Anolis sagrei: one gene and its partner. The protein of the gene in region 1 interacts with the protein of each later gene in a biochemical or structural test. Links are inferred from orthologs where the notes say so. Each region holds a gene or a part of one and is shown on either strand. Other genes may lie near its edges.

Region 1 (7,645 bases):
AGAAGGTGATGCTAGGAAACTCCTGTATTTAAAGATCAAACTGTAAAGACTCTGGCACAAGCCAGTAAAGGTGGTCCCAGTGGTGATCAGCACACTGGGTGCAGTGCCTAAAGACCTTGGCCTGCACTGAAAAACAATCAGCGCTGACAAAATTACCATCTATCAGCTACAAAAGGCCACCCTACTCGGATCTGCACGCATTATTTGCAGATACATCATACAATCCTAGACACTTGGAAAGTGTGCGACATGTGATCGAATACAAAAGTCAGCATAGTGATCTTGTTTGCTGTGTACTAATCTTGTTGTATATCAAAAAATAATAATATCATCCATCAACTTAAGCTACAACTTCCAACAGATCCAAGTTAGCAAGAAGTCAAACAGTTTGTGGGCCCTTCCAGACAGACCCTATATCCCAGGAACTGATCCCATGTTTTCTGCTTTAAACTGGATTATGGGTCTGCACTGCCAAATAATCTATCATAAACAAAATCAGGTCCTGGGATATAGGGCCTGTCAGGAAGGGCCCTGTGCTGCACTACGCCCATTAGAAGCTAAAAGCCCAGCCATGCTAAATCCTTTAAAGCTGTGACTCCCAGTCCTTCGGGTGTTTTGGACTTTTATCTGCTCTGGAGTTGGAATTCAAAACACCTGGAAGACCAGAGTTGGGAACACACTGATAGAGGCCCCTTCCACACAGCTGAATAAAATCCAACATTATCAGCTTTGAACTGGTATATATGGCAGTGTGGACTCAGGTATCCCAGTTCAAAGCAGATATTGTGGGACTTTCTGCCTTGACATTCTGGGTTATAGGGCTGTGTGGAAGGGCCCCTAGATTAACCGTCCCTAGAATCCCACACTGGGCATGGAGGAAAGGCAACACTGGAAAACCAACGTTTGCTAAACACTGATATTGATCAACTGGGGGCCTTCTGCAAAAAAAAAATAATTAAAAAATCCCACAATATATGTGCTTTGAACTGGGTTATCTGAATAAAATCCTACATTATCAGCTTTGAACTGTAATATGTGTCAGTGTGGACTCAAATAACCCAGTTCAAAACAAATATTGTGGGATTTCCTGCCTTGATATTCTAGATATAGGGCTGTGTGGAAGGGCCCAAAGTCCACACTCAGATAATATGGGATTTCCTGCCTTGATATTCTGGGATATAGGGCTGTATGAAAGGGTCTTGAGTCCACACTGCCATATATTCCAATATCAAAGCAGATAATGTGGGCTTTTATTCAGCTGTGTGGAAGGTGCCTATGTTGCTGAGAGTTTTCTGGGCTGCATAGCCATGTTCCAGAAGCATTCTCTCTTGATGCCTGCCATAGATGCAGGTGAAACGTCAGAAGAGATTGCTTCTGGAACATGGCCATAAAGACAGGAAAACTCACAGCAAACCAGTGATTCTGGCCATGAAAGCCTTCGACAACACATAGATCTCCAGAATATCCTTCTGAGGGCCCTTTCACACAGCCCTTTATCCCAGAATATCAAGTCAGAAAATCCCACAATATCTGCTTTTGAATTGGGGGTCCTTCCACAAAGCCCTTTACCCCAGAATATCAAAGCAGAAAATCCCACAATACCTGCTTTGAGTTGGGTTACCTGAGTCCACACTGCCATATATCCCAGTTCAAAGCAGATAATGTGGGATTCTATTCAGCTATGTGGAAGGGCCCTGATAACTCAGATAACATGGGATTTCCTGCCTTGATATTCTGGGATAGAGGGCTGTGTGGAAGGGCCCTGAGCATGCATGGACAGCAAATAAAGAGAAAATAAAAAAGAAAGCAACACACACACACACAAAGGACTTCAACTCCCAGAAGTCCCTGCTGCTTTGGCCAACGACCAAGGATTCTGGGAGTTGAAGTTCCCCAAAACTGGGAAGCAGCAGAGTTAGTCTTCGAGGAGGAGCCCATCCCTTCCACCTTTGGCGCAGGGTTGGAAAACACTCCAGCAGTGAGTGGCTGGCTCCCCTTTGGCCACTCCCAAGGGTTTCAGAAAAGGTCCTACTTCCCGTCCAGCCTGGGAGAGAAGTCCACCAACACAAAAGGCAATCCGGGAGAGAGGAAGAGAGGAGGAAACCGAGGGAGAAAACGTGGCTTTTCTGTGCGCGGTGCCAGATCCCAAGAAAGGCACTCTCTTAAGAATGGGAGCGTGGCTTCTCCTTGGGAAGGGAGGCTGGAGGCCAGATCTGGCTCAAGAGCCACAATTGCAACACAGACACACAGCTGACTCTTTGGTGGGCACTCCTTCTTGGCAGGGAAGCAGGCGGGTGGGCTGTCAGCGCGTCTCCCTTGCCGAGTCCTCCTTTTTTTCCCTGGCTGCCTCCGGCTATTTTACGCACACGCAGCCAGGGGAAAAAAGGAGGACTCGGCAAGGGAGACGCGCTGACAGCCCGCTTGGAGCCAAGCCAGAGAAGTGTCTGCGGGTGTCTCTGACCCACAGATGCATACAGATGCCCCCCCCCCCAACGGGACCATTCCCCCTCCTTCCCTCCTTTTCCCTTCGGAGACGCGCCTTCCTCCTCCTTTTCCTTCTCCTCCCAGTTTTTGCGCACGGGAAAGAGAGCCACCCGCGCCCTCTTCAGCCGGGCTAGGAGCCAAAAAGGGAAGCAAGCGGGCCCCTCGGCCTGGCAGGCGGAGAAAGAAGCGCTGGGCCCGGCAGGAGAGACGGATTCGCCCCCTTTTTTGGCTCACCCCGTTGCTGCTGATCGCCGGGAGCCAGCGCGCAGCCTCTTCCTCTCTGTGTGCGTCTGTGTCTCCAGTTGGTTGGCTTTCTCCAAGCGCCTGGGTTGCTCTCGCTTTTCTCTCCGGCTCTTCGGCGCCTTGCCTTTGCGGGAAGCTCAGCCGAGGGAGGACGCGTCAGTGGCTGCTTCTCCTCCTCCTCCTCCCTCCTTTCGGCCCCCCTTTTCCTGCCTGCGATCGGGGAAAGAGGAGGAGGAGGAGGAGCCGGCAAAAGGAGGAGCGAGGGCGCGCAAAGGCGGGCCAGCAAAGAGTTGGAGAGCAAGAGGAAGGAAGCAAGCGAGCGAGCAAGCGGGGCGGGGGTTGGCCCAGCCTTGGCTTCGCTTCCAACGCTGAGCCTGCCCCTTTCCACTGCTTGTGGGGAAGAACTGTCCCTTTCCACTGCCCTCTTTGCGTCTCCTTTCGTGGCTGGAAACTAGGGACAAACGTCCTCACCGGACAGAGCTGCCTTTCCTTCTGCGTATTGCAGCACTACTCCTTTGTCGGCTTGGCTTTGCTCCTTTTTCAGCTGCGGCAGGACTAATCTCCCAAGGCTGTGGTCATTCCACCTCCCAGAATGGATTTCTGGATTCCTGCACCTTGGAACAGCCGGAAAGAACCACTGGGATTTAATGCTGAGTCTTCTTCATCGCCTCTGAGCATAGGAAGAGTGTGTTTTTTCTTCCTCTTCTCTCTCCACGCAGCAGGGAAAAAGTTAGGAGGCGGGGCTCCAAGGGATGGACTGCAGTCACTTGCAGAATAATAAGAGACCCATCCAGGGCCATAGCGGGGGGGGGGGGGGGGGGGTAAAATTCAACCCTACCCTGAAATGTGCCATGTTATTATTTATTTATTTATTTCATAGATTTATATCCCGCAGACTCCAGCCAGAAAATCAGGAGACAGACTTGTAGCCGGGGGGGGGGGGGGTGAGAGGCTTCAGCCCCCCCCCCCCCCGAAATTCTCATGGTGGTTCGCGAAAAGGCCTTACTGGTGCATTATTTAAACTGTTATGTTTATTCATATCATGATCTGATCACCATACTCAATATATCCCATATGCACGGGGGTATTGGGGTAACGATACAAAAGGTTTGCTGGGGTAGACCCTCTTTCACTCAGACTCACCCCCCCCCCCCCCCAATCGAAATCCTGGCTACCGGCCTGTCAGGAGACACTTACTTCTTGGGAGGAGAGCCATGACCAATCTTGATAAAATAGTGAAGAGTAGAGACATCACACTGGCATAGTTAAAGCAATGGTATTCCCCATAGTCACCTATGGATGTGAGAGCTGGACCATAGGGAAGGCTGAGCGAAGGAAGATAGATGTTTTTGAACAGTGGTGTTGGAGGAAAGTGCTGAGAGTGCCTTGGACACCGAGAAGATCCAATCAGTCCATACTTCAAGAAATAAAGCCTGACTGCTCATTGGAGGGAAGGATACTAGAGGCCAAGATGAAGTACTTTGGCCACATAATGAGAAGAAAGGAAAGCTTAGAGAAGACAATGATGCTGGGGAAAATGGAAGGAAAAAGGAAAAGGGGCCGACCAAGGGCAAGATGGATGGATGGTATCCTTGAAGTGACTGGATTGACCTTGAAGGAGCTGGGGGTGGTGACGACGGACAAGGAGCTCTGGCATGGGCTGGTTCATGAAGTCACAAAGAGTCAGAAACGAATGAACAACAACAATACCCCTCCTTTCTCACCCCCGTTGCAGGGGGGCCTGGGGGGCTCAGAGCAGTCTCACAACAAGCACCATACAGTGCCATCACCATCATAAAACATTTCAATAAATACATTAAAACAGTTAATTAAAAACAATTGATTAGACATGCCATTTAAAAACCAAATCCAAATCTGGGTCAATTCATTGTCCTGGGTTGCCTGAGTCTTCTTTCCACTTGTTGCTAGTCGAAGTTTCCTTCTGAAAGACAGGAGGGAGGTGGCCAGTATGATGTCCCTGGGAAGGGAGTTCCACAGACGGGGAGCCACTGTCTCTCGTCCCCACCAATCGCGTTTGCGTTGGTGGTGGGATTGAGAGCAGGGCCTCTCCAGATGACCTTAGACTTCGCGATGGTTCATAACAGGAGATACATTCGGACAGGTAATCAGGGTCAGAACTGTTTAGATCTTTAAAGGTTACAAAAGAAACCTGGTTTACTCATAACTTGGTTAACCATTTAAAATTCTTGAGTAAACCAGGTTTCGGGGAGGGGTGTGTGTTAGAACCCTTTTGCGAAATTAGAACTCTTACCCCACCCCCACCCCAGTTACGACCCTGGACTCATCACACTAGAGCAGGAATGGGCAAACTAAAGGCTGAGGGCTGGATACGGCTCCCTGGGCACCCACTTCAGGCCCTCATTTTCCTTATCCTCTCAGTATAAGGACATGGTGGCCTGCTGTATCCTTATGCAGAAAGGACAGGGGAGGAAGGCATGCAGCAACTGAGATCCCTCTGGAGTGCTCTCAGCCACAGCATGTCCTGCCCTCCTGGCATAAGGACAGTGTGAGTGGTCCCATCCTTATGCTGAGAGGATGGCCCGAGGAAGGCATGTAGCAGCTAAGAGACCTCCAGAATGCTCCGGAGGACAGCCCGAAGATCAGGAAGGAGTATCGGAGCAGTTGCCACCTGTTTTTTTCCTCCCGGCACAAGGATGAGATGAGCATCCTTATGGCACAAGGGGCAAGCATCCCTATGCCAAGAGGACAACCTTAGGTTGACCCAGGCCCTGCCCCGGCCCCACCCTCTTACAGGCCCTCTCCCTCCCAGCCTGGCCATCTTGGTTGAGCCCATAATACAGCCCCAAAGCAAAAATGTTTTCCCATGCCTGCACTACAGCATGAATCCACTTTAAATCTGGTTTCTGCCTCCTGCAGAATTCTGGGGTTTGTAGTTTAAGGGGGAGCTTTTAACAGTCCCACTCAACTACAAACCCCAGAATTCTGCAGGAGGCAGAAACCAGATTTAAAGTGGATTGGTTCTCTAGTGCGATGAGGTCCTCCATGAGAATCAATAAGTAAAGATTTCCTCTTGACATCACATACCTGTGGTTACCAGCATATGCACTGCCATTTCCAGATCCTAGGTGGAGGATCTGGAAATGGTTTAGTGTTAACTGGGAAATTCTAGTCATGAAACTTGCATAGTGACTTGGACCAGTTGATTTCAGCCTGCTCTCCCTTCCAGGATCACTATTGTGAAAATAAAAAGTGGGGAAGAGAGCGATATATATACATTTCTTTTGATTTACTGGAGAAAACATGGGGTATAAATATAACTGTATAGCTATTGTGTAAGATAATACACAATAGACATATATATTCTAAAAATCAAAAGTCAGGCATAGTTCGGTTTAGTGCTGGACATAAGGCACAGAATGACAAAAAAAGACATCACTCAGACCTCTCTAAACCCTATTTTTAAGCTCTTAGTAGAATTTGTGCAGGAAATAGGTAGGATTCCAAAGAGGATCTTCATCTTAAAGAAGTATTAAAATGCTCTCTCAGAACTCCTGCAAATGTCTTGGTAAATATCCCTGACCATTTCTAGAGCTTACTGTCATTTCAGGATTTTTAAATGCCTGGTTTTAAGTGTGTGTACATGGTATCCTTTTGCTTTGTTTTTGAAGTAAAGACCACAGCAAGCAATGAAGATGGCATAAGTAGCATAGGAATAACAATCTACACTAAAATAAGAGAGCAAACAGAACTCCACTCCCTCCTTATCAGAACAAAAAGTGTGTTATTGACTGTTAACAGCACAGAATGAAGGATGACTGCTGCCATGTATAAGGAAACAGATGACACAAATAATACTTGCAATCTTGTTGATGCAAGGGAGGACAATATTGGATATTTTACAGTTGTGCTTAGAGTAGACCCACAAAAATCAATGGAACAAGTCAGACACGGTGAACCTATGTCCCAACAATTTAAATGAGGGCCCTTTCATGCAGCCCTATATCAAGAATACCAAGGCAGAAAATCCCACATTATCTGCGTGTGGACTCAGATAACCTAGTTCAAAGCAGATATTGTGGGATTTACTGCCTTGATATTCTGGGATATAGAGCTGGGTGGAAGGGCCCCCAGTTTGTGTTAGAGCTTTTTGGACTGCAACTTCCACAATGTCTCATTTAGTATGTCACCTTAAATGTTAACCACATATTGGGGTTGTTTAGTCTTTGGGGCCCTTGATTATAATTCACCATTAAGTCTATGTTCCTTTTGGGATGGATTTCGTCTTCGTCATACACTATATTCCCCCTCCTTGTCTCATGTATTTGTGGTGTTCTCATGTCAAACTTTTATTAGTACATTAATAAAATCAGTTGAAGATGTATTCAGCAGTAGATCATAAATGACCATAAAGTTATTCAAATGCTGCAGCAAGATTGTAAAAATGGCTTGAAGATGGAAAAAGAGACTGCAGTTCTTTGGAAGCCTTGAATAATAAAATTGCTTTTAAAAACAGATGTGAAAGTGTCTTTCTGGCTAACACCATACAGATCAAGGAAGAAAGTGTGAATAGATAATATATAATTAGATCTGCTCTTCAGTTGCAGGTTTATTTTTCTTTTTTTTCCCCTTTTCAAGGCTGCCTCCAAGGGCCCTTCCACATAGCCCTATATCCCAGAATATCAAGGCAGAAAATCCCACAATATCTGCTTTGAATTGGGTTATCTGAGTCCACGCTGCCATATATTCCAGTTCAAAACAGATAGTATGGGATTTTATTCAGCTGTGTGGAAGGGGCCCCAGTTTCAGTTAGCCTTCCTGTCCACAGCCCCATCCAACTACTCCAAAGTAAAGGTTTCTCGATTGGGCTCTCTGTCCCCTTTCTCTTGCCAACGGTAAGGGAAAACAGTAGTGCTGTGGTCAATATTAGATTACTGCA
Region 2 (7,310 bases), on another chromosome or scaffold:
CCAACTAATAAGCCAAATCCAAGCTCATAGATGTGAAATAAACGAAGATGCCGCCTTTGTCCATGAATGTGGATAGAAGAACAGATCTTTTCTTCTTTTGTTTAGCAAAACAGGAGCACCAATTCCATTGGAATTTTGAAAAGATAGTTTTGCGAGGGTTCAAATCCCCACTCAGCAGTGATAAGATCTCTTAGGTGACTTATAGCACATTAGACAATTTTAGGGCAAGTACGGGTGGGGAGCCCCTAGCTTACAGAGCTATTTTGAGGCCTGCCAATTAACAAGACTGCTAGAATTAGAAGCCCATTGCTTATAACACAAGCTGGGCAATTCTTTTTTCCTGCCTAGAATTGTCTTTATTTTTAACGCTTCTTTTGCTCAACAACAATACAAAAACCCAATGTTGGCTTGAAGCTTCTGTATCTCAGAGACAAAAGTGGGGTAGTACAATTACTTCTAATAATAATTCTGAGAACTCCCAAAATTATAATTTGTGAAATTGGAATGACTAGAATACAAGCTGGGAAGTCTTTCTTTCAGGCCAGAAATGTCTTTATTTTTAATCGCCTCTGTTTGAAAAACAAACAGCCGAAAGCCAAAGCTTGCCCAAGTGCAAAGCTCTGGTCACATTTCTCCTCTGGAAGTGTCAAGAAAGAAAGTGTGAGCAAAAGAAGTGTTTTTTAAAAAGACATTTATATCTAGAAAAAAAATCCCCAGCTTGTATTCTAAGCATTTCAATTTAATATAACAGTACCGTGCAGCTGTGGACAAGTCTACATAGGGACCACCAAACTCAGCACCCAGACATGACGCAAAGAACATGAAAGCCACGGCAGACATGAAAGCTACAGCAGATGAACCGGCCTAGACACAGAATATTATTTCAGAACACAGAAATTCTGGACCACTCTGACAACCACTATTTCAGACTACACAGAGAAGCCATTGAAATCCACAAGCACACAGACAATTTCAACATAAAGGAAGAAACTATGAAAATGAATACTGGTTACGAGTATTAAAACACACCAGAATCAAGACAGTAAATAATGAACACCATTCAGAAACAGAAGAACTCCAGACAGCAAGCAATCAAGGGTCAGTTAACACCTCCCCAACAGAGGATGCCTCCAGGCAAGAGTCCAGGCTACCTCTATACAGATACCCTCACTGACTTACTTTGCACATTTATGGCTACTCAATGCTATTTAAGCTTGCCAAGTGCAACATTCACACTTTCTCTAATCCAGAGTTCCCCAGACTCTGCTCCTCCAGGTGTTTTGGACTTCAGCTCCCACAATTCCTAACATCTGGTAAGCTGGCTGGGATTTCTGTTAGCTGAAGTTCAAAACACCTGGAGAAGCACAGTTTGAGAAACAGGGAAGTCTTGCTACCCCTCTATTCTGCCTTAGTCAGACCACACCTGGAATATTGTGTCTAATTCTGGGCACCACAACTGAAGGTCAATGTTGACAAGCTGGAATGTGTCCAGAGGAGGGCAACTCAAATGATCAAGGGTCGGAAGAACAAGCCCTATGAGGAGTGGCTTAAAGAGCTGGGCATGTTTAGCTTGAGAAAGAGAACGCAGAGGAGACATGATGGCCGTTTATAATTATGTGAGAGGAAGTCATAGGGGGGAGGGAGCAAGTTTGTTTACTGCTGCCCTGGAGACCAGGACACAGAACAATGGCTTCAAAGTACAAGAAAGGAGATTCCATCTGAACATTTGGAAGAATTTCCTGACTGTGAGAACTGTTCAGCAGTGGAACTCTGTGCCCCAGAGTATGGTGGAGGCTTCTTCTTTGGGGGCTTTTAAACAGAGGCTGGGTGGCTATCTGTCGGGGGTGCTTTGAATGAGATTTTCCTGCTTCTTGGCAGGGGGTTGGACTGGATGGCCCACGACGTATGTTCCAGCTCTACGATTCTATAATGCTCCACCTTTGTAACTACTCAACAGATGGCAGTACTGGTATGCAACAGGTTTTGGCTTGTTCAGTAGACTCTCCTCTACAGTTCCATTTTGGTAGGAAGCCTTAGCATTGAACGGTTGTGTTGTTAAAGTGCAAAGTATGAAACCCTGCGCAGACAGTCAGTCAATGTGACTTAAGCAATGCGCAGTCATTGAATTCTTGACAGCAGTAGGTGTCACCCCAAAGGAGATTCATCAGAGAATGCAAGCTGTTTATGGTGATTGTGTTGATGTGAGAACAGTGCGTCGTTGGGTGAGAAAGTTTAAAGATGTAGAGGTGGAAACATCTGACTTGCATGACAAACAAAGAGTTGGACATCGTGTGACAGCAATCACCGAGTTTCACAAGCAAAAGGTTGACAAATTGATTCGGGATGATTGTCGTATCACTCAGAGAGAAATTTCAAGCATAATCGGCATTTTGCAAGAACGTGGGGCTCACATTATTGCTTTGCTTGGCTATTGGAAGATCTGTGCATGATGGGTACTCAGGATGAGAGAACTGTGAGACACTGGTTGAGGAAACAGACTGTCGACTGTGTTGTTGTTGGTTTTTCGGGCTATATGGCCATGATCTAGAGGCATTTTTTCAGGCTATATAGCCATATTCTAAAGAAGACTATCGACTTCTTCCATGATGGCTTCAGAAAACTAGTTCATCGTTAGCAGAAATGTATCCAATTGTCTTGTGATTATGTGGAAAAGTGAATAGTGGTAGTTAAAGAGCACATTCTAAGAATTAGTTCTGTGTTTGGGTTGTTGTAGGTTTTTTCGGGCTATATGGCCATGTTCTAAAGGGTAAAGGCATTTTCTCCTGACGTTTCGCCTGCATCTATAGCAAGCATCCTCAGAGGTAGTGAGGATGCTTGCCATAGATCAGCATTTCTCAGTCTGGGGGGGGGACCCCTTGGGGGGTCGTGAGGGGGTTTCAGAGGGGTCACCAAAGACCATCAGAAAATACAGTACTTTCTGTTAGTCATGGGAGTTTTGTATGGGAAGTTTGGCCCAGTTCTATTGTTGGTGGGGTTCAGAATGCTCATTGATTGTAGGTGAACTATAAATTCCAGCAACTACAGCTCCCAAATGTCAAGTCTATTTTCCCCAAACTCCAGCAGTGTTCACATTTGGGCATATTGAGTATTTGTGCCAGGTTTGATCCAGATCATCATTGTTTGAGTCCACAATGCTCTCTGGAAGTAGGTTAATTACAACTCAAGGTCAACGCACACCAAACCCTTCCAGTATTTTCTGTTGGTCATGGGAGTTCTGTGTACCAAGTTTGGTCCAATTCCATCGTTGGTGGAGTTCAGGTTAACTATAAATCCCAGAAACTATAACTCAATCTCATCCCCACCGCGACAGTACTCAAATTTGGGGTATTTGTGCCAAATTTGGTCCAGCGAATGAAAATATATCCTTCATATCAGATATTTACATTATGATTCATAACAGCAGCAAAATTACAGTTATGAAGTAGCAACAAAAATAATTTTATGGTTGGGTGTCACCACAACATGAGGAACTGTATTAAGGGGTCACGCATTAGGAAGGTTGAGAACTACTGCCATAGATGCAGGCAAAACGTCAGGAGAAAATGCCTTTAGAACATGGCCATATATCCCGAAAAAACCTACAGCAACCCAGTGATTCCGGCCATGAAAGCCTTCGACAAGTTCTGTATTTGATTTATTAAAATATTCCCATTCAAGCCCAAGTAACGAAGGTGGAGGCATTACTTTTAATTCAACCCTATATAAATGTTTCAAATAAATAAATTTCTCTTAATCCCTCCTTACTATCCAACATTTTTGCTTATCCAACGTTCTGGTTATGTTGGATAAGCGAGACTCTGCTGTATTATGATTCTGAGAACTCCTTCAAATTATCAGTTGCAACATTGCAAGGCCTAGAATGCAAGAGGGGGGAATCCTCTTTCTGGAGACTCCTGTCTTTTAAGAATTCTAGTGGTGAGCAGAGCTTCTCACCTGGGCAGGCTTTGGCTTTGTTTGTTTTGCAAGCAGAGGAACTGAGAGAGAAAGTCAACAGCGCATGGAGGCGGGGAGGGAAGCAGGCGGGAGCCTTTTAAGCAAACGGAGGCTGCCTTCAGAAGTTCACCTTGCTATTATCTGGACCCCCTTCCCGCTCCTGAGGCAGGCTTGGCGCGCCATTCTGGCCATTGCGGCCTTTCTCTCCTGAGGGAGAAGGCCAAGGTAGGGCGCACCTGTGGGAGGGCCGCCTCCTTCTCTCTCCGCGTGGCGTGGAAGGGGAAGGAGGCCTTTTTTCCCTCCCCGGCCCCTCCTCCCCGCGCAATTCCAACTCCGCGGGCCCCTCCCCTCCCTGCTTCCCTCAGGCCGAGGCGCAGAGGAAGGGAAGGTGGACGGCAGGAGAGGTGGGCCCTTCCCTTGCCACTGCAGCAGGAGGAGGGAAAGGCAAGGAAAGGAAAGGTGGCGGGGTGCTCCTGTGAGGAGGAAGAGGGGGCTGCAAGGGAAGGAGGAGGAGGAGAAGGGATGCCGCCTTCCCTCCGGGTTGCTCCTCCGTTAAGATGCAGCCCGCGCTCCTCGGTCAGAGCCACGCCGGAGCCCGAGACCACGAACAACAACAGCAGCAGCAGCAGCAAGTGCAGCTGCGGCAAAAGCTGAGGGAATTGCCGGCGCTGCTCCGGAGTGGGCTCACGCTGCGGAGGAAAAACTCCACCGGCGGAGGACGGGTGAGTGAGTGAGTGAGTGAGTGAGTGGGAGGGAGAGATGGAAGGAGCGAGGGAGGGAAGGGGCGCCTCTTGGGCCCCTGCCTCTTGGGCCCCTGCCTCTTAGACCCGGCTCCGAAGGCGTATTGCGCAGCCAAGACCTCCCGCCTTCCCAGCCAGGCCCAAAAAGGGGTTTTGCAGCCGGAGGGAGGGAAGGAAGAGAGGGTTGGGTCTTCTGCTCAGCACCAGCAGGCAGGATGCGGGAATAGGAACCGGAGGGATGGAAGCATCTCAGGCTCGATCTCACTGCCACACCATACAGGTGAACGCCATTGACCTGGGCTCTATGACTACACCAGGTGTGAGCAAACTTGGGCCCTCCAGGTGCTTTGAACTTCAACTCCCACCATTCCTAACAGCCTCAGGCTGGATCTCCACTGCCACACCATGCAGGTGAACGGCGTTACTTGGGCCTTCCAATAACTGAGTAATTGGAACTGGGTTCCAATAGAACTGGGTTCTATGACTCTCCACCAGGTGTGAACAAACTTGGGCCCTCCAGGTGCTTTGGACTTCAACTCCCACCATTCCTTACAGCCTCAGGCTGGAGCTCCACTGCCACACCATGCAGGTGAATGGCATTAAACAGGGTTCTATGATGACACCAGGTATGAGCAAACTTGGGCCTTCCAGAAACCCATAGAACTGGGTTCTATGACTCTACACCAGGTGTGAGCAAACTTGGGCCCTCCAGGTGCTTTGGATTTCAACTCCCATCATTCCTAACAGCCTCAGGCTGGATCCCCACTGCTACACCATATAGGTGAACAGCATTGAGCTGGGGTCTATGACTATACCAGGTATGAGTACACTTTGGCCCTCTGGGTGTTTTGGATTTCAACTCCCACCATTCCTTACAGCCTCAGTCTGGATCTCCACTGCCACACCATGCAGGTGAACAACATTGATCTGGGTTCTATTACTACACCAGGAGTGAGCAAACTTGGGCCCTCCAGGTGTTTTGGACTTCAACTCCCACCATTCCTAACAGCCACGGGCTGGATCTCCACTGCCACACCATGCAGGTGGATGGCATTGAGCTTGGTTCTGTGACTACACCAGGCATGGGAAAACTTGGGCCCTCTGGGTGTTTTGGACTTCAAATCCTATCATTCCTAACAGCCCCAGACTGGATCTCCACTGCCACACCATGCAGGTGGATGGTATTGAACTGGGTTCTATGACTACATCAGGTGTAAGCAAACACGGCCCCTTTATTTATTATTTATTTATTTATTTATTTATTATTTGCACTTGTTAACCGCCACTCTCAAGCCCGAAGGCGACTCGTGGCGGTGTACAGAACATAGAACACAAAGGACAACAGGTTACAATAAATCAGGACCACAACACACATCTTACTAATACACAGCTACTTAACTAAAAATCCGCTTCGTCTTGTTTAGGGTCATAATCAATCTCGTAGTCATGGTCCATTCCGGTGGTCATTCCAAAAACATAGCACTTAGTTGAAGGCCTTCTCAAAGAGCCAGGTTTTCAGGCCCTTGCGGAAGGCCATGAGGGAAGGTGCCTGTCTGATTTCAGCAGGGAGGGAGTTCCACAGCCGGGGGGCCACCACCGAGAAGGCCCGCTCTCTTGTCCCCGCCAGGCGTGCCTGTGAGGCAGGCGGGACCGAGAGAAGGGCCTCCCCAGATGATCTTAAGGTCCTCGTGGGCTCGTAGGCCGAGATGCGGTTCTCAAGGTATTTTGGGCCGGAACCGTTTAGGGCTTTGTAGGATAACACCAGCACCTTAAATTGGGCCCGGTAGCTAATTGGCAGCCAGTGGAGCTGGGACAGCAAGGGCGTTGTGTGCTCCCTGCGTCCCGCTCCGGTTAACAACATGGCTGCCGCACGCTGGACTAGCTGGAGCTTCCGGGCCGTCTTCAAGGGCAGCCCCACGTAGAGAGCATTGCAGTAGTCGAGGCGGGATGTGACCAAAGCGTGTACCACCATGGCCAAGTCAGACTTCCCAAGATACGGGCGCAGCTGGCGCACGAGCCGAAGCTGTGCAAATGCTCCCCTGGTCACCGCCGAAACCTGGGGATCCAGGCTCAGTGATGAGTCCAGGGTCACACCCAAGCTGCGAACCTGTGCCTTCAAGGGGAGTGCGACCCCGACCAGCACGGGCTGTAACCCTATACCCTGTTCGGCCTTGCGACTGACCAGGAGTACCTCTGTCTTGTCTGGATTTAATTTCAGTTTGTTCGCCCTCATCCAGACCGTCACAGCGGCCAGGCACCGGTTCAGGACTTCGACAGCCTCCTTAGTAGCAGGTGGAAAGGAGTGACAGAGTTGGACGTCATCTGCGTACAGATGACACCGCACCCCGAAACTCCGGATGATCTCACCCAGTGGCTTCATGTAGATGTTAAACAGCATGGGGGACAGTATGGAGCCCTGAGGAACACCACAGGTCAACGGCTGTGGCGTTGAACAGGAGTCCCCCAGTAACACCTTCTGGGTACGACCCTCCAGAAATGACTGGAGCCACCGCAAAGCCCCATCTCTGCAAGGCGTCCCAGAAGAATACCGTGGTCGACGGTATCGAAGGCCGCTGAGAGGTCCAGGAGCACCAACAGGGACACACTCCCCCTGTC

What was found. The genes of interacting proteins can lie anywhere in the genome.
Region 2: of the proteins of RAP1A (region 1) and RAPGEF5, one has a biochemical effect on the other in vitro, tested with the Homo sapiens proteins (2 studies listed by BioGRID). The link is inferred for Anolis sagrei from reciprocal best matches to the Homo sapiens genes RAP1A and RAPGEF5.

What each region holds. Positions count from the first base shown.
Region 1 is NC_090024.1:199,234,186-199,241,830, reverse strand, and holds the start of RAP1A (ras-related protein Rap-1A), read right to left. Parts: upstream 3,015-7,645; 5' UTR 2,719-3,014; intron 1-2,718. UniProt on the Homo sapiens protein: Counteracts the mitogenic function of Ras, at least partly because it can interact with Ras GAPs and RAF in a competitive manner. Together with ITGB1BP1, regulates KRIT1 localization to microtubules and membranes.
Region 2 is NC_090026.1:93,381,409-93,388,718, forward strand, and holds the start of RAPGEF5 (rap guanine nucleotide exchange factor 5), read left to right. Parts: upstream 1-4,275; 5' UTR 4,276-4,511; coding exon 4,512-4,676; intron 4,677-7,310. UniProt on the Homo sapiens protein: Guanine nucleotide exchange factor (GEF) for RAP1A, RAP2A and MRAS/M-Ras-GTP. Its association with MRAS inhibits Rap1 activation.